Tamandua tetradactyla: one gene and its partner. The protein of the gene in region 2 interacts with the protein of the main gene of each other region in a biochemical or structural test. Links are inferred from orthologs where the notes say so. Each region holds a gene or a part of one and is shown on either strand. Other genes may lie near its edges. The genes, in order: NSMCE3 and PJA1.

Region 1 (11,394 bases), on a different chromosome or scaffold from region 2:
AAAAAATGATGTAATCACTTGAGCAGATAAAGAACACATGACATTTAAAAAGCTCTTCATCTTTTTTCTAAACACCTCTACAGAAGTTAGAATAGGAGGGAAATTAAAAAAGCCAATTAAAGGTATTTATCCATAAATAAAATTGCTAACAGCAAAAATCACACCCGATAGCAAAAATTTCAAATCAGCAACATTCTTGATGTCTGCTGTCACCACTTCTTTTAAAGGATGTACTGGCAGTTCCAGCCAATGCAAAAAAGACAAGAGCAAAAAGGTATAAGAACTGGAAAATAAGGGAAAAATCCTATTATGATGCTACAGACTTCAACTACTAGGTATTAATAAATGGTTAGCAAATAAGCCAATTCAGTCCTACATAGAACCAAACCACAAATTCATTTATATATGGGATATTGATATACAACAACGAGGGTGTTATAAACCAGTGTGGAAAGGTTAAACTATGAAAAATTGGTCTATGCAAACTGGCTATCTGTGGGAAAATAAATAATAACCATACCTCAAATCATATACAAAAACAGATTAAAAACCTAAATGCGAAAATCAAAACTTTGAAAACTTAGATGAAAATATTGGAAAATTATCTTTATAAATATAAAATATCAGGATTAGGGGAAATTTTTGAAAGCACAACATAAAAAGTACAATCCTAAAATTAAAATATTGGTGATTTTGACACGTTAAAATCTATTCATTTGTATGACAAAAGTGAATATGTGAGAGATGTGTATTTGCACTAATACAGTAGAAACTGTATTATGTATGTATGTATTCTGTATATGCAGAACATATAAACTAGACTTATAAATAAATGAACACAGAAAAAGAACTGGCATATATGAAGTGTGAATAGCAAAAAAGGAGAGATAGGCTATAAGAGCTAAAGATAGAAAGAAATAAACTTAAAAAATACTCTAGTAAGCAAGAGATGCAAATTAATACCATGATCAATTATCACTACTTGCCCACCAGAGTTGGCTGAAAATAAGATACTGAATAAATCAAAGTTTCACAATACAGGGTAGCTAGGGGTTCAGCAAAAAAAAAAAAAAAAAAAAAAGACCTCTATAAAATGATGGGGGAGTGTAAAGTAATACAAGCTCAAGAGCAATTTGGCAATGGCCTACGATTGCTCTATTTGCTTCTGGCTGGAAAATTTTTCATACATGTGCCCAAGGAGGCCTTGTATACTGCCTGCCAATAGCAAAAGATTGGAAAGAAACTAATTGTTTAGCCAAAGATAAACAAAACCATTATTTCCTTTTTTGCTTGTTTTGTTTAATGAAAGAACAACTAAAATGAATGAATTGGGTCTACCTTCATCTACATGGCTAGATTCCAAACAAAACAGTGAGTGAAAAAATGCATGTTGCAAAAGGATATGCACAGTGCATTACCACTTAGATAAGTTGTAAAAACTCACAAAGTAATGCTTTACTTATATCGTTTATGTATACACACATATGAGGTAAAAACCTACAATTATAAAACAGCATGATACCCACAAACTTTTGTTAACTCTGGGAAGGTGAGAATATTGATAATTTTCACCATATTGGTATAAATGCAAGTGTAAAAACACACCAAGTGTAGAAAGCAGTGCCAGTGAAGTACTGATTAGTAGGCAGAACTCTTAGTCAGTAGGTAATTTATACCCTGAAATAAAATGCAAACCAAGAAAAAATGTCTTCAAGGACCAACTATATTCCATTGATGAAATAAATGCAAATCCTAATTCAACAGAATGAAATAAAACACTCTAACTTATCACATCCCTCCATATCCACCATATATTCACCAGAGACAATTCTAAATGGCATTTAGTCCAGTGTTTATCGAGTCCGCATTTTTTTTCCTGAAAATATTTACCTTGGTTCATTTGCAGCACCTTCGCCCCCCCCAACAATTATACCGACTTAATAAAATAATTGGCTGAATCCCTGTAAACAAACAGCATTTTGCTTGATGCTAAGGGGAAATACAGTGAGAAGAAGCTATTTCTCCTGACGGGAGGTTTCTTCTACCTAAAGCTATGTCTCCTGACAGGAGACAGCTGGAAGTGAAAGAGCAAGAGGAAGGACTAACTTTGTGGCGAGGGCTGGTTTGGCTCAACTACCAGCTATTCCCTGTTTAAGGTTCTTTTTCTCCAAGCCAGGCTGTTAGGATTTTCCTAGATCTTTCAGCCAAGATGTTGGAATTTTCCTAGATCCTTTGATACTTGAGGTGACATGGTAAAACTCTATTTTCTTGTTGCAATAAGAATCTAAATAGAATGCACTAAACTAGGTTTTGAATCCAAGTTCTTAGCCTAGTTCTAGTTCTAAGTCCACGTGTCCTAAGCTTCAGTTTCCACAAGTGTTCAAAGAAATGGCTGGGTTAAGAGAGATAATTTAAATCCTTCAAGTGCTAAATTCCGATTTATAAGATACATCATAGTAATAATGTACAAGTGTGGCAATTGTCTTAGTTTACTCTAGAAGGAAGGATGGTGAACATCTATGGAGTTCTACTAGGTACTTTAAAGGTATAATCTCATTTAACCCATAATACAAGCCATGATATAAGTTATTTGTATCATTTTATGAAAAAGGTGAGACTTACAGAGCTTAAAACCTACTCCAAATGACCATGTTGACAAGTTAGCATGAGCCATAATTTAAACTGTCAAATGACCTCAAAACCCATACCCTTTCACTACCCTACGATACCATCTCAAAGCCCTGGTGAGACTTTACTTTGAACTTTCTTGCTCCTACTACTCTCTGTGGGTGCCATATGCCATGTGGTTATGTTTCCATAAAACCACATGATGTTAGGGTGGGCCACGGTGGCTCAGTGGCAGAGTTCTCACCTACCATGCCGGAGGCCTGGGTTTGATTCCTGGTGCCTGTGCATGTAAAAAAAAAAAAAAACAACTACACGATGTCAGCCATAATTTTTGAACCTACTTTTGAATTCCCCTTCTAGGAATGATTTAGCCCAGGATGAAGAAAAAATTTAAGAAAAAAACAAAATCAAGCTCTAAATGAAGGAGAATAAAAATCAAATTTAAAAAATTACGAACAAAGTAACAACTAAAATCCTACAAGCAACTGTGCCAAGTACATGCACTGTCACATGTAATCACTGTTCTAGCACACATGATTTGGCATCATCACTTCCATTTTACAGGTGAGGAAACATCTGTCCCAGATGAAATAACTAACCTAAATTCATATATCCACACCTCCGCATCCTCCTCCAAGTTAGTGGTGGGGCCAGGATATGCATCTAAGCAGTCTGATTCCCAAGCAAGCATGGTTCATTAATAAGCCACTGTTTCATAAACTTTTGGGAGAGCTGCAGCAAAAAATGTTTTACATCACGACCCAATATAAACACACAAATAAAAGTGAAACAACTTCTAAAAAACACTACTTATGATATTATATAAAGTAGCACGAACTATCTTTTCCTTTTTTTTAAGGTGGTGGTTTTGAGTCACAACTTCTCATGACCCACGATTGAAAAAACATACAATGCTTAACTGCTTCAAAAATACATTACTGATTATAACTAAAACCACAAAAAGGAAAAATAAAATGGTCAGCAACAGAACTGAGTAATAAGTATGATTATATAGTAAGATTTTAAAAATTGCTATTCGGAGAAAATAAATTATGTACACTAGTTGGAACCATTCAAAATGTATTCTATAAGAGGAAAATATATAACAATAAAACAGCTGTGTTAAAGCAAAAAAGGATACACCGGCAATTACATTTCATTTTCAATTTATAAAGACACTTATTTTTCTTTACAAACTGGGGTAGTTATGAAGCCAGATAATAGCCATTTTGCTTTTATTTTCTTGGGACAAAAAACAAACAAACAATTCACCGATGTGTTCTTTCTTACAAGTCTGTTCCGGATTATGGTGCAGTTCCCCAGTTACTTTCACAAAGCTGGCAAAAGTTTTATACCAAAAAATACAGACAAATAAAGCATATCAAAACAACCTCACGACGACCACATCCTTCTCTTTGGTATGTGTCGACTTGGAATCAAATAATTAAGAATGTTAAAGGTACAAAACTTTGCAAACAAATCCTAAAGTTAACATACTTCCAAGTGCTACGAAAGATGGCCCACTGTCCCCTCTCCCCCCGTCCCTCAGCACCAGCCTTTGGGCCCGAGGCCCTTCCCCCGGGAAGTCTCCAAAAATCTGTGTATGATTTCAAGAGGAGGGGGCCGGACCACCGGACTCAGGTCTGGCCCTACCAGCCTCTTCTGCTAAAGCCTCACAGTACTGTGCTGGCCAGTCCTTGGGGTCTTGGTTATGGACTTTGGCCACAAACTTAAGCACCTTCATCTTGCTGGTTTCCAGACTGGTACGCGGGCCCCACTGGAACTCATAGTCTATGGGGTCAGTGTGCGGAATCCGCCGGTACTCCAAGTAACGCTGCCTTACGAACTCTTCGGTGATGAGTTTCTTTGGGTCCCCGAAAATCAAATGCTTCTTTGTGGGGTACACCCCTAAGCGACGAAGAAAGTCCCAGACCTCAGTCTCCTTGATGGTGTTGCCCTTCATAAAGATAAGCCCTAAAACGATCATTAGGAGGCCCGTGGTGGGCGTGCCCTGGTCGCCCCGCACCTCCGCATCCTCCTCCACCGGCTCCAGGGTGTTGATGAGGATGTAGCTGTTGCTCTTGGGCTCGAGTTCCACCAGCCTGTACCCGAAGACGTACTCGAGGCGCTCGGCGGCGAGCTTGAGGAGGTCAGAGAAGATGTCCTTGTAGTCTCCGACGACATGCTTCAGGATTTCGGTACGCTTGATCGGAATCTTCTTCTGGTCTTTAATCAGCAGGAACTGCACCAACTCGGCCACCTTCAGCTCTAGCTGCTTCTGCGTGCGGGGCCCCACCGCAGGGGTGGCCTGACTGGCGTGGGTGCCCCTGGGCGAGGCGCTCAGAGTCTCCTGCGAGCTGCCTGTGCCGCGAGAGGTACTCGGAGCCTCCTCCCCGCCGTGGCCCGAGTCCCTTTCCCTCTCGGCCTGGCTGCCAGGACGGCCCCGGATCCTCGGCTTCTGCAGCATGTCATTCGGCGGTGGACTCCCGGCGCCGGCTCGAACTCCGCTCGCGGTAACGGACCGCAGCAGGATCGCGGAAGCCGCCGGAGACGCGAGGCACGCTACGTCACATCTGGGCCTGCGCAAGGCACGTCCCGGGGCGGGGCCAGAGGGGCGCGCCTTACGTCACTGAAAACTCTTGTTACGTTGGCGGAACTTGGGCGTGGCGTTCGTGGCGTCTGCGCGAATGCCGCGCGTCGGCGGGAGAGAAGAGCGCGCGTAGTTGGCTTGCTGTCTGTAGCTCGTTTTTTTGTTTGTTTGTTTTTAAATCATTTTAAGTGCTATCCTTAACAAACCATACAAATAGAGAGCTGGCACCGAAACTCCTAAACTAGTATGCGGCAAGATTCAAGCTGAAACAGGCTCAGGCAAGTTCTATAGAAAGTGAGTATTAAGAGTTTTTACATTGGGACTGTTTCTAAGTGGCGAGAACTCAGAGGATGCATATGGGAGAAAAACAGGGTGAAGAAGAAGGGAAGACTGTAAAAAGTAAAGGAAAAGCATTTATTTCTACAGGGAACGTGGATTTTTTTTAAAAAAGAGGAAAACCCGGAAAACTTCTATTTGGAGACAGTCAGACTTTCCTTCGCCACGCCTTCCCCTAACTATGATCGCCCAGTTAACTTTCGTGTCCCCAAGAGTTTATTTTAAAATGTTTGATGAAGGTAGGTTTTCTTGGCGAGCGGGAATTACCCCTCCTTTTCACTATTTCAGTTTTTGTATTTTCCACATTAAACTGCATCAGCTGGACAGTTCTGACAAAACCGCCACGTACAGCGTGTTTAAATGCGAGGTTTTCGCTTGCTCAAAGCAATTTATCTTTTGGAACCCCTAGGTTCAAGTTCACTGCCTTGGGCCCACAACCACAATTTTAGTTGGAATGGGGTAAGAGGAATGGTACAAACAGAAGCATGCTCTCTCAAGACATTGCCATTTAATTTGGGGTACCACAGATGCTGAATTACAAAAATGTCACTCTGGAATTTCTTAATTCTTAATACAGATCAGCCTTAGAGCTTAAGGAGAAAGAAAAGAGAATCCCGGGCTGTTATCCCTCATAATCTTTGATATGTGCACTTTGTATATATATTTTTAATTGTGCAACTCGAATAGCCCGAAAGAGCTATTTCATTAACTTAAACCATTAGCAGTCTGCTGCTATTACTTAATTAAAATCATACCACCTCGCAAAAGAAAATGAATTTCCCCTCTTTGCCTTTTTGAAGCTACTCTATAAAGTGGGTAAACTGTACAAAAATCTAAATCAAACTGAGTTCTTCTTTAATGCAAAATATATTCAAAGGAAAGCAATTCAGAATATATTTGAATAATAACCTCAAAATAACAACCTTATTAAAATTTCATTAAATGTTAGCATAGACTTTTTGTTTGTAATTCAGTATGAAAATGAAATTTGATAACAGCATTGGAACTGCAATATTAAGTATAAAAGGTATTCCATGTTGTGATACAAGTATGCTACAAATCTGGTAAGCATGGAGTAACAACTTTGTTTTACACAAGGCACAATAACATATCCTCACTTTAATGAAAGACCCACCACCAAGAAAAATAAATACATCATTAATGCCTTCATTTTTTTTTTACAAGAAAAAAAAAATCTTCAAAATTTACTTGGAAATTAAAATTCAGACTCAAGTTCAAAAAACTCCTGCAGTCTATCTAGAATTCTGCAAAAGGTCTCCACAGAATGATCAGTTGTACCTTAAGTTTAAAAATGTCACCAATAAAAAGATAAAGGAACAATGGAAAATAAAAAGTTGAAAGCCATTTTCAACAACTAGTCTGGGGTTTCAGTGTTTTTTAATAAGTTTTATTTAAATTACCAAGCAGCCCCATCCATCTGACTCCCCTGTGACCTTGTGAAAATCAGCAGGGTCCTTCAGTAGCATCCTTACCCAGGCAGCAAATCTTTATTACTTAAAATGGATGAGAAAAGGTAGTAGATTTTAAGTCTTATATATTTGAATGTGGTTGAGGGGGGAAATTTGGAGTTTGTGTATATGTTACTGGAATGAAAATTAAAACAAAAACAAAGTTATATAACATAGTGAACCGTGTTGTATATGATGGACTATAGTTAATAGTACAATTATAAAAACATTCTTTGAATTGTAACAAATTCAAGGTGTTAATAATAGGGTGGTACATGGGAACCCTGATTTTATGCCTGATTTTTCTTTAAGCCCACATCTCTAATTAAAACAAACAAAACAAGCTCTACACTGTCTAGAAGAATGCAGGTGGGAAAATACAAGCATCAAATAGTGTTAGAATTTTAAGCAGTGCATAGAGAGTAACCCAAGCCAACATTCCACCTCAGACTGACATGGGAAACCATGGATGTGTGGGAACAAATTGTGATGACAGTGGTGATAATAATCATCATCACAATAATAAATATAGAGAATGGTAATTGTTCTAGTTTGTTAGCTGCCAGAATGCAATATACCAGAAATGGAATGGCTTTTTAAAAGGGGAATTTAATAAGTTGCTAGTTTACAGTTCTAAGGCCAAGAAAATGTCCCAATTAAAACAAGTCTATAGAAATGTCCAATCAAAGGCATCCAGGGAAAGATACCTTGGTTCAAGAAGGCCAATGAAGTTCAGGGTCTCTCTCTCAAGTGAGATGGCACATGGCGAACACAGTCAGGGCTTCTTTCTCGGCTGGAAGGGCACATGGCGAATACGGTGTCACCTGCTAGCTTTGTCCCCTGGCTTCCTGTTTCATGAAGCTCCCCGGGAGGCATTTTCCTTCTTCATCTCCAAAGGTCGCTGGCTGGTGGACTCTGCTTCGTGGTGCTGCAGCATTCTCTGCTCTCTGACTCTCTCATTCTCCTCTTTTATAGGACTTCAGAAACTAATCAAGACCCACTCAAATGGGTGGAGACATGTCATCCCCTAATCCAGTTTAACAACCACTCTTGACTAAAGCACATCATCCAGGGAGATAATCTCATTACAGTTTCAAACATACAGTATTGAATAGAGATTATTCTACCTTTATGAAATGGGATTTATATTAAAACATGGCTTTTCTTAGGGGGCATACTTCCTTTCAAGCCAGCACAGTAATAATAAATATGAAGAACAACAATGGCTAATGATAATTCAAAAGTAACTGGATCAGACCTTATTCCAAGTGATTTACATGTATTACTTCATTTAATTTTGCAACAAATATATAAGGCATGTGCGTTTATTGTATTCCTCTTCTCACAAATGAAGAAACTGAGGCCCAGAGAAGATATATAAGGGGTTTGCAGCCCCACAGCAATTAAGTGGTAGATCCGGGATCTGGGATCTGAATTAGGCAGTCTGCTTCCAGAGCCTGTGCTCTTAACCATATGTTGATATGCAGAAAACACACCTGGTGTCTTTGCAAGAGTAAGGGCTTTGGAATCAGATGGTCCTAGATTAGAAACATTTAAGACATTCAGAAAGCTACTGATACTCCAGATTTAGAGTTCTGATCCTGGCCTTGGGAACTAAGTAAGAAAGGTCTGCCAAGCACCAAGGACAGCCTGGCAGTGTAGTCAATACATATTTGAGGGTTACACAAAGTGATATAGAGAAAGATACTACAGTTAAAAATGTGCTCATACAAAAATCAAAAAACGTCTGGGAAAAACAAGTTCCTATTAAAATTATTTTCTCTTAAAAATAAATTCAATATAGGTTGTCTTGCTTGGGAAATAAATGTAAATATATTCTCAACAAAGCTTAACTTTTCTTGACATCATGCCATAACAGTTATACACATTCAAATTTTCAGTCAGTTTGATGTGGTTTGAATGTCATTTGTGACTTTTTGTTTAGGTAGTGAAGGAAAGAGATGTTAAAAAAGAAATACATTTTCAAACACTTTCTGCTAATAATCTTCATACTTTGAGGCAAAAACTAAGCTAGGTAAGATTTCAAATGCATTGAACAAAGAAATACCTACCACCAATAATTCTTTAGAGGTCTCTAATTAAATGCTTTATTTCATCTCCTTGGTAGCAAATGCCTGCTAAGAAAGTACTCATCCTTATTCTCTACAGAATTTTCCTCATCATTCGCTGGTATTTCTCACAGGATCCAAGAAAGGTTTTAACTTTTCTAACAGGCAACCTAGTGCTAAAAGTAGGTGAGGACTTTTGGGGGAAGAAAGGCAATGATAAAATCATATAATAGGGGCAGGCCATGGTGGCTCAGCAGGCAAAGTTGTCACCTGCCATGCGGGTGCTTGCCCATGCAAAAATAAGTATGTGGCTATCATATGTGAGCAACTTCCCTGACTTTTCCAGTGAAAGAAAGTGGAACAACAAACATGGAGCATATGAACAAGGGACTTGGGGACAAAGATTATTTTAGTGGGTAAATAGGGAAAACAATACAAATATTTTAATGTTGGCAATACAATCTCTTGTTTGTGCTTACTATTTGTAGCAAAGATCCTTCCTACTTAGATGACATGATAAACTGCCTAATAACATTTTGCCCGTCATGAAATTAAGCATTTCTAAACAGAAGCAGAGCTTTCCTTGGCTGGTGGAAGGGATGGGGCGTTGGGGCTAGATTATTGCTTTCCAAAAGCATTGTAACCATTTAGTACAAAAAGCTCTTCTTAAGAAAATGATTAAGTTCTATTAGAAAATTCCAAAGCTAACTCAAAGAGGACCTAATAGATGAAGAGACATTTCTCATGCTGCCATCTGAATCTCTGGATCCAGAGTTCAAGGTTGGACTGTAAGGATAACTAGTTACTGGAGCTAGTAAAATCTCCTTTTGCTTAAACTGCATAGAGTTGATTCCTCTTACTTGAAACTGAAAAATTTGTGGCTAAATTGGTATCCAAACCAATTAGGTAGGGAGAAAAAGTATACTATGGAATGAGAATTTATTTCACATAAATGGAGCTGGACAAGGTAAATATTACCTGTAAGCACACTTGTATGTAATTAAATTGATCTGAATACAAAATAATTTTTAAGTTTCTTGGCAGTGTTCTGTGGTTGAGGAAGTGCTTATGTACCTTTTAAGTAGCTGGCAATAAAGGCAGGAGAGAGATCATGAATGGCTGTGCTTTTTCATACAGACTGTACATATGACCTAATCCCCACAGAAAGGAATTTCAGAACATTAGAACCTACTTTAAAGCATCTGCTAATCTAGAGTAGCTGTTTTCTCCATATTTGACCTAAAGCATTTCCCTACTGGCTGCACTATGAAAGTTGACAGAATCGTCTCTCTTTTAGACTCCACATTATTAGCTTAGAGTAGAGGTATGTGTACCCAGAGGACAGGGGCACCAAGGAGGAGCTGTAGAAGAGAAAGGCATACAGGGTTTCTTCCTCCTGCAAGTGAGAGTTTAGGTTCCTGATGAGAAGAGGACTTGTCCCTTCCCCAAGCCTCGAAAAACCCAGCATTTTGTGGTATTTGTGGGGTAACAGCTAGCAGAAGCCTATATATCCCTTCTGAGAAACTTAATAGTTGGCTTCCTGATAAGGATACTCCTCCAGGAACCTATCTCAGGCTGTTGACCAATTGCTCTCAGAGGGAGCCTCACAGGAAGGTCAAATGCTGCTAGGCCTTGAGGTTTGGAGTCACCAGTTTACCCCCCTCTGAGACCTGGTAGACTCCAAGAAGCTTCTTCATAGTGCCTCAGCAGATGTGTATATAGTGTGCCCTTTGATTCACTGTGGCCCTTAGAGCAAAATCTTCCATGCCAGAAACTGCAGTTCTCCTACCACTTGCCATTCTAATACTTTCCCAATGATTCCAACAATGTAACCTACAGAGAAATGAAGTACAAAACCCTTGACAGGTGAATAAGAAAAAAATTACATTTATTAAAGTTGACCCACGAGTTTGAAGAAACAATAAAATGGACAAGACTTTAGCTAGAGTGACCAAGAAAGAAAGAATATTCAAGTTAATAAAATCAGGAATGAAAGAGGGGACATCAAATTGACCCTACAGAAATAAAAAAAATAAAAAAAAAAACAATTATAAGGGAATGCTTGGAGCCATATACCAACAAATTAGATAAATTGAAAGAAAGTAAAAGTTACTGGAAATACATTTTAATGAAACTTGTTCTAGAAGAAATAAAATCTGAATAGAACTATAACAAAGAGATTAAATTAGTACTATTAAAATTTCCCCCAAAGGAAAAAACCTAAGCCCACGTGAATTTCTTGGTGAGTTCTACCACATAGTTAACACCACCCCTTTAAAAACTCTTCCAGAAAATTGAAGAT
Region 2 (13,212 bases):
GTGATTTTAACCCACTCCCACCTACACTCTGGATTTATCCCTCCCAACATGCTTCACTATTACCATGTTTCCTCATTGCTTCTTTTCTTCCCTTAGGCAGGGTATTCTCTCTCCACCCTTTTCCTTGGTAGTAGTTTGACAACCAGACACTTGATTTCTACTTTTAAAAATGATTACCTTTTTTTTTTTTGCTGCTGTTATTGGAATCAACACTCTCAATGAAAGGAAAGGTTTTCTTCTGTCAGGAACACCAAAAGCTTCTACTTTTTATGCAAATGCAAGGGCTTAATCATGAAATCACTTAGTCCCACTGTTTTAGACAAAACCAAACAATTCCATTATACCATGTAAAACCAAAAGGAGAACTTTAATAAGCTTTTACCACACTGCAATTACAGGAATGTTAACCCATAACATGCAACAAAAATGATTATGTCTTTTGGACATATTTAACAGAGAAACTTGACAATACAGTTAACAGCAACTTCAGCATCCTACTGAAGAAAAGAAATGCAACTTATTGCAACTTTCAGGTTAGAAAATTTATGTACTTTAATGCAATCTCAAGTAGCATTTAGAAAGTTTAGTTTTCTCTTTTTTAACCTCTAAAAGACAGTGTGATTTTTTTAATGCAATCATACACAACAATTTTCACATTGGAAATGATCACAAGGAATCAACAGACTTGGCTTAATTGACTGATTGGTTTCTCATCTCAATTGTTAATTTTGAGAGGGCTCCTGCAGTATTGTGGATTTTGCATGGGGAAAATGATCAGACCAGGAGTAAATCACCTTGGTCTTTAGAGTGGAGGAGGGAACATGCAGCGGCACACGGGGCAGGTGCCTGACTTCTGAAGCCAAATGGACACACAAGGCTTGTGGAAATAGTGGTGGCATGGCAGCTCTGTCGCCACCTCCCCCTTCACATATTCACTGCAACAAATCGGGCAACACATTTCCTGACCCACCGCGCTGTGATCCTCGGTGACCAGGATCTCGGGCAGACTATCGATGCTCTCCTTGCTCGCAGGCGGATTGGCCACCTCCACGTCCACGGCGAGGGACTCCAGGTGTGCAAGGGCAGTCTCCATCGCCTGAGCCAGGCGTTCTTCAAGTGCCATGTAGGTGAGGAACTGGGGATCCACATAGGAAATGGCTTCAGCCACTCCTAGTCCATCCGCGAATCCATCAAAGAGGCTCCAATCCACTTCTAGGTCTTCGCTGACACTGGAGTCATCTTCCAGGTTGTTATTTCCATCCAGCATGAACACCCCAGGTTGCATAAACTCATGACCAGACTCATTATCCCCCTCGCTGCTGCTCTCATTTTCATTGTACTGGAGCCAAGGGATTTCTCCCTCTTCCAGGGATGCCTGCTCCTCCTCCTGAAGAGAGGGCTCTCGAACTTCTTCCAGGTAATTGCCGCCATTGCTGCGAGCGCTGGCACCAGCCACAGGGCTGGCACTGCCACTGGCCTTGGCTCCAAGTTGCTCGGGCTCATGCTCTTCCTTTCCTGGTAACGTCTCCCAGCTTTCGCCACTGGAGGACAGGTTTTGTTCTTGCCCTCGATACTTGCGACGCAAAGCAGCGGTCCACTCTTTGTCACTGTCGGAGTCTTCGTCGCAGTACCTATAGTAATCATCACTGTAGGTCCAGAAGTCAGGGTCAGCCATGGTGCGCCGTCGTCTTGGCACCTTCTCTGGTTTCACTTGGTCACTCCTTGCTTCTCTCTTTTCTTCAGGGTATTTTGGCCCAGGGTAGCCACTTGAACTTTCGCCTCTGCCTCTTCTCACTAGGCCATCGGAGGGGACTTCATCAGTGGTGGCCATGTCCCTCCATCTGGAAGTACTGTGTGGCATATCATCATCATCATCATCAGTATCAAAAAATATTTTTGGTTTCACGCAGTTTGGGCTTGCCATATTTCTGATTTTAGGCCTTACCACTGGTTCCTCTGAACCTTTCAGGGTGTTGTCCCCACCACCACAAATACTCACAGGAGCCCTGCCAGGACGCTCTGGTAAATTCTGCTTCTGTCTCTCCCTCCCCAGGCTGTCACCAGTCATAGTCACCTTGCCTTTGGCAGAAGATGTCTGCAAGGCCCTGCTACTTTGCTGTACTAACTCAGCTCTGCCAGTAGAGCCTCTTGCTGCAGGGGCTGGGTCTAACTTGTTAAGCTCCTCTCTCACGTCATGCTTAAAACTAGAGAACTGTAGTGGCACCCCAGCCAAAGACCTCGCCCCTTTCTCCAGGTCATATAACTTATCCTCTTTGAACTTGCCAGTTTTCCCTCTCACTGGCAGTCGCTCAACAGGCCCAGCCCCCTCCTCCTCACTATCATCCGCCCCGTAAAAGTCAATATGTCCATAAGCCATGGGCCTCCTGCCACCCGAAGCCCTAAACTCTCTGGGCGGATACCTGGAATAGTCCTCATTATCAACATTCAGACTGCTTCCCGAGCTCTCACTGTCGTCCCAACTACGACGAGTGGTGGAAAACGGTGACCGGCTCCTCTTGGTGGTTTGACTGGGGGCGGATCTGTGCATTGGGACTTCGGAGGTTGTCTTTCTCTGGCCGGAAATCCTGTGCTGCTGGCTCGTGGAAGGCCTGAAACTGACATAAGCATGCCTTCTTCCATACCTCCTGCCTGTATTGGACTGATACCCTCCTGCTGGTTTGGGCCAGACAGGCTTGCTAGATTCCTGACCCATCGCTCTGACTTAGGAAGGTTTCCAACACAGCTGGGGCTCAGGTGCCAAGGGTCCTGGCTCCCTGCACACGCTTTGGAGATGGGAAAGTCAAATCAGTTCAGAATAAAGGAGCAGGGAGATTTATTTTCACTTCAGCAGGCAGGTAACAGAAAGAATAAGGGGCCTTTAAAATTAGTTTCACTTTCTTCTAAGGCCTGGAGTAGCATTCCAGTGACTGTCAGGTGTAGACCTGGAACACATTTTTAATGTTGGCAAAATGATTACAAAACTGTGCTTGTAGGAGAGTCAGACTTAAGGGAGAATCTGACAGAAGGTGGGGGGTGACCGGACGCTCAGAAGGTGGGTGAAGCACTTTGGAACTGCACCAATGTGGGAAGAGGAAAGACTGCTGTGGGTTTTTTTATGGAGTGCCTGCATTTTTCAGAGCCCCACAGATACACAGAAGAAATGCAAATTGGCAGAGAGTGGAAACTATGGATCATCGCATGTGTGTGCGTGCATACATGTCTGTCAGAAGGAGAGGGGCAGGTGGAAGGGGGACCAGTCATCCTGCAGTGGGGAGATGTCTGGGTTTATAGGGGGAGAGGTAGATCACAGCGGAACCAGGAGGGGATATAAGTGTTTGAATGAGATCCTTCTGGGTCTAAGTGTGAAAATGACAGGTATGGATGGGTGGGATGGCTTCAGAGGACAGAGGTGCATATGAGAAAAAGAGAACGTGTATGTGGAGTTATATGAGTGGCAGGTAAAAATCTGTGGAGGGGTGCCTGTGTTTATGTGCATGTGGCAGGCAGGGGAGGGTATGGTGGCACTGGAGAATGGTGTCTGTGAGTTTGTGTGTGCATCAAAATGGTAGGCAGACATGGGGCAATATCAGTGTGAGCAAATGTTGTGGGCCGTGGGGCTGATGGGGGGCAGTAAGCAGCAGTGGAGAAGGACGTGTGTGTGGAACAAGGGCCAGAAATGAAAGAATGTCTGGATGTGAGAATATGGTAATATGTACTTGGAGAAGAATTTGTATGAGTGTGAGTTTGAGTGTGCGTGGCCATGGGGACTGGCAAAAGGAGCACATGTGGCAGACAGGGAGCAGGAGTGGGGAGCACTTGAGGGATATGTGTGTGTGTATATGTCTCGCAGGCAGGGAGAAGGAGAGGGTGTGTGTGTTGGCCAGAGCATGCAGAGGGAGGGGGGCCTGTCTTGGAGGTGTGTATGTGGCAGGCAGTGTTGGGGGGGGAAGAACTGGAGGGGGTGAGGGTGTGTGTGTGCCGGCACACACATGGGGGCTGGGACAGCGCTGGGATCTTGAGGGTGCTGGTGGGAAAGGGGATGCACAGGAGGGCATATGAGAATGAACGGAAGGAGGTGGGGGATGGAGGGTGCAGGGAGGACAGGGAGAGAGGGTGGGAGGCGAAGGGGGCCGCAATGTCATAATGAGAGACAGGAAAGTGTCATCAGCTCAAACAGCAGCCCCAAACCTATGTGGCAGGGAAGGGTGAGTTGGGGTAGAAAAGGAGCCGGGTATAGTTTTTCCCTGGGAATATATATCTTTTTTTCCTGACAATTCTCTTCCCGGGAACAACATTGTTACCTACTAGCAACCTTAACCATTTACCATTCAGCAAAACAACGGCAAAATGCGGGAAGGCAGGCCGTGGGGTGTTCCACAAAGGGACTGAGGAAGGAGAAGGGGAGAAGTGGGGTTGAGGGTGGGGGTGGGGGGAGAGCGGCAGAGGGAAAAGGGAGAGGGCCGCGACCACCACTCCCTCCTCGAACAGCAATTCAAGCCATTCGAGTGCGCGGCCGCGTCACCCGCAGGAGGTCGGCCACAGAGGTTGAAACCCCCTCTTCGGGAGGAGGGAGGGCCGAGGACTCTGCAGGCAGGTCCCGTGCCCGCGCCCGCTCCACCCCTTCCCGAGGGGCGAACCCGAAAATCCCTTAACGAGAACCCCCCGCCTCCTGCAAATCGTTGCCTTTCCTCCCACGCCCCCTCCACGCCCGGCCACTCACCCCACCGCCAGGGTCTGGAGGACCCGAGGAAATAAGCCGCCTCGCACTCACCCACTCCGGGCGCTCGCACGGTCTTCGGTGGAGCAGATACCTTGAACCTCCGACCGCCACGACCGTCAGAGCTGCTGCTCCCGGGTCTCCAGCTCCGCCCCCGCCAGACAGCGGAAGTGATCGTGACGTAGGCTGGGATCCGCCCCCTGGATGTGGCGGGGGCGGCAGCTGCTCGCGACAAATCAGGCCCGGCGTGAGAGCATTATTTCATTTTAAATGATAAAATCGTCAAGGATACAGAAAAGGGACAGGGGAAAATGTAGCCAACAGTCAGATAGAACAAATGTGAAACATTTAGCGGACAGACCCTTCTGTTCTGGGTTTGTTTGAATATAAAATGAAATCTGCAAATTTTCTCCCACTGACTCCAATGAGAAAGAAATCATATTAATATAAGCATATTCCCATAGTCTATGTACTGGTTTGGACTGGAAATATTTAAAATGCAATTTCAGCAAACAGTGTTGCAGTAAGCTTAGATTTTTTTTTTAACTTGATGGGGGAGGCAAATTGAAGCTGTGTAGGATAGAATTTGTTGCTGTGAATCACAAAAATCAGGCCTCGCTAGCTAAGAGAGATGGTCAATCAGGAAGCACAAAACGGGTTCACATCCCGGTAGCTGCATTGCACTTAAAACATACTGTATAGTTAGTGGGAAATGGGGACTGACTGCTTAATGAATACAGGATTTTCTTCTGGGGTGATGAAAATGCTTTGGTACTAGATAGAGTTGGTAGTTGCACAGCATTGTGAATGTGTTAAATACCGCCGAGTTGTACACTTTGAAGTGGTTACTTTTGCGTGATGTAAAACTTCACCTCCAGACAAAACGAAAAAAAAATGTAGTTGTCCCTTTCGGAGTTATACCTCAGAACTTTTTCTTACTTGTACTTTATAATGGAACTCTAATATTTGCATCGAATGTGAATACTTCCAATGTTGAGCATAGTTGTAAAATTTTGTTCTTCCTGGAAGTAAAATGCGTAAAACTTGCAAACCATTAGAATAACAATACGTGGAACAAAGACAAAAACTCAGTCTAACAAAGGACAGGATATGAGGGGATCAAAAAGAAAATACATAAAAAGAGAACAAAAAAGCAGGAATAAATCCAAATAAATTTATTACAATTAAATAATGTATTTAAATGGTGTATTACGGATTAACGTCTGTTAAAAAGCAAACGCATGTTTCAAGCATTTCATTTAGAAAAAAAACAGCTATATGCTGTTCATATGACTATCATCCACAACAGAAACAGAACTGGAAAATATATACCAGTTAAAGATTAGAGGGAGAGATGGAAGGAGGGGAGGGAAGGAAGAAGGAATGGGTGACTTGTACCAACGTTGACATCAGAAAAATTAAGAATTCAAAGTAAAAAGCATTAAAGAGAAACAGACAGGTTGTTTCACTCACCAAGAAGACATGACAGTCACCAAAAATGTGTGTACCAAACAACATAGCTTCAAAATGTATGAAGCAAATACCGTTAGAAATATAAGGAGAGATCTGGAAGTCTGCCAGTACAGTGGGAGACTTTAACCACACCTCTCTGGTATAGGTACATCAAATAGACTGAAAAGTAAATAACGACATAGAGAAATTGAACAATACAATAAGCCTGATCAAATGTATATGTATTTTTGCACTCAAGAAAGGATAAATTTTATTTTATGAAAAAATTTTAAATATTTCAAACATAAAAAAGTACAGAGGGTAAAGGACACATATTCCTGTACCTGACATATAGATTGAGCAAATAGTTTTTCTTTCAGATCCTCAGACCCTTCTTGCATAGCTCCATGTGCCCCAATGGGAGAATTTCTCTAGAGCAGAGAGTCCTAAAAGGGTTATGAGTGTTTTGATATATTGATTCCCTAGGGCTTGGCCAACTACTGCCCAGCTGTTCATCCCAGTGAATTTGTACAAATATTAGCATTTTAAAAATATGAGCTCTGATGTGCAAAGGATTGGGAAAAAAACTGCTCTAGTGCATGTTTATTATAGTAGAAATTCTCATCAAAGCATATGTAGTAGTTATCTATTGCAGTATAACAAATTGTCCCAAGCTTAGTATTAAAACAATAAGCATTTATTATCTCACAGGTCCTGTGGGTCAGAAACCCAGATGTGGCTTAGCTGGGTGCCTCTGGCTCAAGGTCTCTCAAGAGGTTGCAGTCAAGTCACCAGCGAGGGTTGCAAGCTCATATGAAGGTTTAACTGGGCTGGGTGGGAGGTCCACATTCAAGATCTTTTACATGGATATTGGCAGACCTCAAAAGATCTCCTTTCAAGCTTGCTTGTGTAATTGCTGTCACACGCCAATTCCTTACCATGTGGGCCTTACCCAGGCTTCCTGGGTTTCCTAACAACATGGCAGCCAATGAGAAAGTGAGAGTCAAAGAAAGAAGCCACAGTCTTTTTACAACCGAAGCTTGAAAGTTATATCCCATCACTTTTGCTATACTGTATTCATTAAATGTATGTCACTAGATCCAGCCCACACTGAAAAGGAGGAGATTCCACAAGGGTATGAATACCAAGAGGTAGGAATCCTTGGGATGAGCCAGGGGTAGGGGGTGGGGGCATTTTCAACTTCAATAGATATCACCAATTTGCTTTCTAAGTGGCTATACCAATTTACATTCCCAGCTACAGTTTATTCACATCAATGTTTCCCCATGTCCCAACACTCTTGGTGGGTTCACAGTTTAAAATTGTTGCCAACCCAATGAATACAGGACATTGTTGTTTGACTTTGTTTTTCCCTAAATTACTTTTATTTCCAAGCAGCCAAGTATCTCTTTGTGCTTGTTGACCATTTAGATTTCTTCTTTTCCAGATTGTTGGTTCATACCCTTTGTCCATTCTTCTATTAAGGTTCTTTTGGTTATTATTGATTTCTAGGGATTCTTTATATATTATGAATATCAAATGTCAGTTATATTTGTACAATTGCAAATATCTTCTCCTAGTCAGTGTTTTCTTTAAATGTTAATATGAAATTATAAAAGTACTTAAATACGGTGATGAATGTACAACTACATGATGAGACTGTGAACCACTGATTGTACAGTGTGGATAAACTGTATGACTTGAATGTATCTGAATAAAACTGCTTTTTAAAAAAATTATTTAAACAATCCGTGACAGTATGTTTTTTTTATAACCCAGGAATGTAGAAGACCTTTACAAGTTTGACAAAATACATGGAAGGAAAAAAAAAATAAAAGATTCAACTACATATAAATAAAATGTTCTGACAGGCAAAATAAAATCCTGAGTAAAGTCAAAGACAAATGAAAAACCGGAAAAAATATTTGCTGCTCATTTCATAGACAGAGGGCTAATTTCCCAAAATGCATGAAGAACTCTTACAAATCAATAAGAACCTTACAAACCAATTTAAAATTGAGCAAAGAAATTGAATGGTCGGTATCATGAAAAGGAAATACAAACAGCACTTAAATGCATGACAATGTTCAGACTCACTCACAAAAATACGAGACACTAATTACCTCTATCAGACTGACCATGATAATGTTTGAAAAAGTTTGATAAAGCACTGCGCTGTCGAGAGTGGGAAACAATGGGCACTCTCAAACAATGCGGGTAGGAAAATAAATAGGTAGAACCTTCATACTTAGGCAAGTTGGCAATATCTATCAAAACTACCAATGCACACACTTTTGACCCAGAAAATCTATTTCAACAATTCTATTATACAGATATACTTGTACATGATGGAAATGAAATACATGCATGTATATTCATGGCAGCATTGGTTTTTAATCATAAAAAATTAGACGGAACCTACGTGGTTATCAAAAGGGGCATGGACAATTAAGTTACAATAGAATCCTTACTAGAGAGCAGCTTAGATGCAGAATCTGAATCTACATGTATTGCAATGGAGAAATCTGGAAAACCATATTGAGTGAAAAAAAATACAGGTTGTAAGAGAATACGTATGTTATAGCACCATTTATATATGCTTTTAAAACACATACAGTGAGTGTAGGGTCAAGACTGTGCTGTCTTCTCGAAAACTTGCTCATGTTTTCACTAAATAATGTCTTCCTTTATCTCTAATAATGCTTTTGTTGTTAAGGTCAGTCTTGTCAGTAATACTGCTACCAAGATTACTTTTCTTTTTTTTTCTTTAGCACCTTATTTTTGAAGAGCAATTTTGGTTTCCAGAAAAAGTGAGCAGAAAGTATAGAGAGCTCCCATATACCCCCTCTCCCTTTCCAAAGTTTCCTGGTCACAGCTGGAGCTTTGACTCTGGCTCGGGTCTTCACTGACCTCTGCTTGGCATCTCTAGTGGGTGCTCCTGGCTGCAAGGGTTGGGGGAGTGGGGGTGGGCAGGTGAGCCAGTGGATATGTTTCAGCAAAATGCACCCAGGAGCCAGGTGTTTGGACATGGATGTGAACCCACTCCCCCTTGCCCTGTATCACTCCCCTGTGGAGCCTGAGTGGAGGTGCTGTGCTCCCAGATCAAACTGAGAGGAGTTGCCATTAAGAGAGGTTCAAGCAGCCTGCAGCTCAGAGGCCTCCTCCTTTATCTCCCACAACCCTTTTTTTAATTATTGTGAAACATAACATATATACAAAAAAGATATAAATTTCAAAGTACATTTTAACAAGTAGCTATAGAACGGATTTCAAAGTATGGTAGAGGTTACAGATCCACAATTTCAAGATTTTTCTTCTAGCTGCTCTAAGACACTGGAGACTAAAAAGAAATATCCCCAGGAGGCCAGAAACACCAGTCTGCCTTGGGCCAGAGTGAAAACCCTGTTTGTTTGTTGTTTTTTGCTTTTTTTTTTTTACTGTGAAATATAACATATAAACAAAAAAAGCAATAAATTTCCATATACATTTTAGCAGTTCATTATAGAACACATTTCAAAGTTTGGTATGGGTTACAGTTCCACTATTTCGGGTTTTTCCTTCTAGCTGCTTCAAGACACTGGAGATTAAAAAGAAAGATCAATATAATGATCCAATAGTCATACTCATTTGTTAAATTCCAACTTCTCTGTTAAAACTCTTCCTTCTTTGATTCCTCTCCCAATCTTTAGGAATATTTGGGTTATGCGCATTTTCACTATTCTCATGTTGAAAAGGGGTGTTGACAGTATAGGGTAGGGGTATGGAACTGGTTGATGTTCTTGGAGATACTGGCACCTCTTCCAATCCTCTTGGCACTGCCTCGTCCAGCTGGATGGTGCCCCATGCTGCCCAGCCCCTTTGCCCCATGTCCTGCCTTCCCACAGGCCCTGAAACCACCTGTCTCCTCCTCCTTCCTTCTGATTTCCCTTCCTTCATCTTTTCCCCTGGCTTGGTTTCCCACGGTGTGCCTCCTGCTGAGTTTCAGGGATTAGGACTGTCTACTGTGTGCCACAGTTCCCTTCTCTTCTCTCCATAGCCAAGGAGATTCTTACCAAGATCTGATCCCAGCCTCACCCCCAAAGTTCTCTGGCAGGAATTAGACAGGACACGGAGATGGCTGAGGAAGCAGGGCTGGAGGGGCAAACCCAGAGTGTGGGGAGTGGTCAAACATTTGTCAGACACCTACTGTATAGGCCAGGTACCTGACATCTGCTCTCTTATTACTTAATCTTCATGGCTACCTGCTGAGGTAGCTCAGAGATCTTAAGGGATTTGTCCAAGGCTACTCAGCTAGAAGTGGCAGAGCTGGAATTAGGAGCCAGGACTGTTGACTCCAAAACCACACTTTTCCTTCTGCTCCAGGCTGCATCTGGTCTGAGGTGAGTGGAGTGGGGTGGCTACAGTTCCTGCCTAAAAGGGAGGCTGTGCCAGGCAGGGGGTTCCCTGGCAGAGGCCTAGAGGAACTTACTGGCTCCCTGTGCTTGGACATTCTGTGGGCTGAGTGGATGGTGAGGGATAACTGGGACATGGAAGCAGAGAGGCAGGTTCTCCTTACCCTCTTTCCATTGGGCATCCCCTCTTCCCTTAGTGCTTCTTTGCTTCTGTCAACCTCTGGAGAGAAGGGAGTCAGCTGACAGTGTTGGGGAGATGGCAGGGAATGGAAGAAGGCAGGGTCCAAAGGCAAGGACACAAGTTGGTTCACAGGCAAGAACCTGGGTGGATCTCTTCCCCTCTCCAAATCTTACCGTTCCTATCTTGGCAGTGGAGAGGTGGTACTAGCCTATGCAAACTCTGCCAGTCTGTGTGTGGTGGGACCTGCCTGGGCAGGGAAGTGCTGTGGCCATGTCAGCTGGAAGAGCATTGCTCACAGAACATGATGGGGGAGTGGCAAGGGCAGGAGCTGGGGTAAGGTTGGAAGGCACATCAACATCTGGCACAGGAATAGCTGCATTTGGCCCTGCCTCGGATCTAAACCCTACCTCTGGTTGCCCCCTTCACAACAGAAGGGTGGAAGATACACAAATGGGGAGCTGAGATTATGGAAAATGAGCCCCTTTGAAAAGAGGAACACCAGAGGAAGTGCAAAAGGCAAGATGGAGCTGTAAACACTTCTGGTTGTCCCCAACAGAGAGAAGAAATGGCACCTGCAAAAAAAAGAGGCCCACCTTTAGACTTCTTCAGAGGTACAGGGTATGGAGTAGCTTCTTCAATTAGGTTCTACCTCCAGGCCTGATAACTCTGCTGCTCTGAACCAAGCCCCTTAAGCCCCTGCCTCAGGCAACGAGTTTGAGTTCTAACGTGCTGATCAGCTGGTGGGGAGTCAGAGTAATATTGGGGACTTTAGGGGTCATTCTTGGCTTGAATGCAAACTCCTTACCATGACCTAGAGGCTTACAGTGATTGGTGTCTTGCCCACCTTTCCAGCCTCATCTCTTCCCACCTTTGTGCCTCCCTGCTCCAATTTCCACTGACCTTCTTTCCATGTCTGGAATACAACAAACTCCCTCTTGCTTCAGCACCTTCATACCTGTTGTTCACCATACTTGGAATGCAGTCCCCTCATTTCTTTGCTGGCTAACTCTTCCTTCTGATCTTATCAGAAATGCCACCTCTTCCAGGAAGTCTTCCAGACCCCTTAGCCAAGACCAGCTCCTACTCCTTCTCTGAACTACTCTTATAACCTCACAACCATCACAATAGCAATTATTCCTGACACGATATTTTATCCCATCTGTCTCCCCTTCCAAATTACTATAAACGCCACAAGAACAGCCGCCTTGTTTATCTTGTTTATAGTTCTACTCCTAGGGTCCAGCATGGTGCCTAGGAAATTTTCAGCCAATAAATCCTAGCAGTTTCCATGCATTGGAGACCTACTGGGGGCCAGGCTCAGACATACAGGATCTTGTTCAGTCCTTGTGTCGCACTCCCCATTCTCATTTCTTAGGAGAGGAAATGGAGAGGCAGACAGGTGACGAGTTTTGCCCTGGAATAGCCATCTGGGCCATGCCGAGCTGGACCCCACCAGCAGGTCTGCCTGCTTCGCACCTCCTCTTTTGCGCTTCAGAGAGGAGCAGCAGCTGTGGCCTCTCCTCGGGTTCCCATAGCAACCACTGCTTACCTCCCGCTCACACTGGTTCCTAATTGCCTGATTACGCAGCTTCTCCCCCGCCAGCTCAGGAGCTTCTTGAGAGCAGGGTCCATGGTGGGCTTTGCTCACCATTGCATGGCTCCAGGCTCAGTGAGTATTAGTTAAATGAACAAAAAAGAAAAAAGAAAAAAGAATACATGACCATCCATGCGCATGGATTTTTAAGAGCTTTCATTGCAAACAAGACACTTAGCAGCCTGTAGTGGCTGGAGGTGTGTATGTGTGTGTGTGTTGGGGGGGGGTGGTTTGAGGAGCTGATGCTCCTGAGCTCACCTCTGCTGAGTGGTGTGGGTGGCCAGCCCCCCCTTCTCCTCTCTCCCCTGCTGCTGGGGAAAGAAGCTCTTTAGAAAACAGGCAAGGCAGCCTGCATGGTAGCGGCTGTTGGTGGCAGGGAGAGTTGGAGAAGCACTGGAACCCTCCCCCAGTGGTCGCCCCCCACCCCTCCCCATGCACATGCAGACGCATGCACAAACTTCCTCACCAACTCTTTCTGATGGAAGCCATCTCAAATGCCAGCTTTGGCTTGAGAATTAATGGTGTTTCATTGCCACTTCTAATGCTCAGTTCACAATCTCATCCCCTAGCCCCTCCTCTCTCTGTTCCCTCTGCAACCATCTTAATTCAGCTCACCATCTTCCACCTGACCTGCTTCAACAGTCACCTCCCCAGGCCCCTGACTCATGACTGATGCCCCTCCTTCTTCCTCCCAATCTTCTATGGCACAGGCAGAATGAGGACCCCAAATTGTTCCATTTGTACCCTGTCAGACTCACAAGGGAGGCAGGTGCTGGTGTCATTTTTGTGGTATGACAAGAGTCTTTCCAAGCCACTGAAGCAGCCAGAGGGAGAGAAGGCCAGAGCTACTACTCCATTAGTTTAAATCCTTAAATGT

Evidence for each region.
Region 1: the proteins of PJA1 (region 2) and NSMCE3 form a complex in vitro, tested with the Homo sapiens proteins (2 studies listed by BioGRID). The link is inferred for Tamandua tetradactyla from reciprocal best matches to the Homo sapiens genes PJA1 and NSMCE3.

Annotation. Positions count from the first base shown.
Region 1 is NC_135338.1:81,816,480-81,827,873, forward strand, and holds NSMCE3 (non-structural maintenance of chromosomes element 3 homolog), read right to left. Parts: upstream 5,236-11,394; 5' UTR 5,096-5,235; coding exon 4,238-5,095; 3' UTR 3,783-4,237; downstream 1-3,782. UniProt on the Homo sapiens protein: Component of the SMC5-SMC6 complex, a complex involved in repair of DNA double-strand breaks by homologous recombination. The complex may promote sister chromatid homologous recombination by recruiting the SMC1-SMC3 cohesin complex to double-strand breaks.
Region 2 is NC_135353.1:103,328,731-103,341,942, reverse strand, and holds the start of PJA1 (E3 ubiquitin-protein ligase Praja-1), read right to left. Parts: upstream 4,898-13,212; 5' UTR 4,772-4,897; exon of another isoform or gene 4,721-4,771; intron 2,943-4,720; 5' UTR 2,714-2,942; coding exon 803-2,713; 3' UTR 1-802. UniProt on the Homo sapiens protein: Has E2-dependent E3 ubiquitin-protein ligase activity. Ubiquitinates MAGED1 antigen leading to its subsequent degradation by proteasome. May be involved in protein sorting.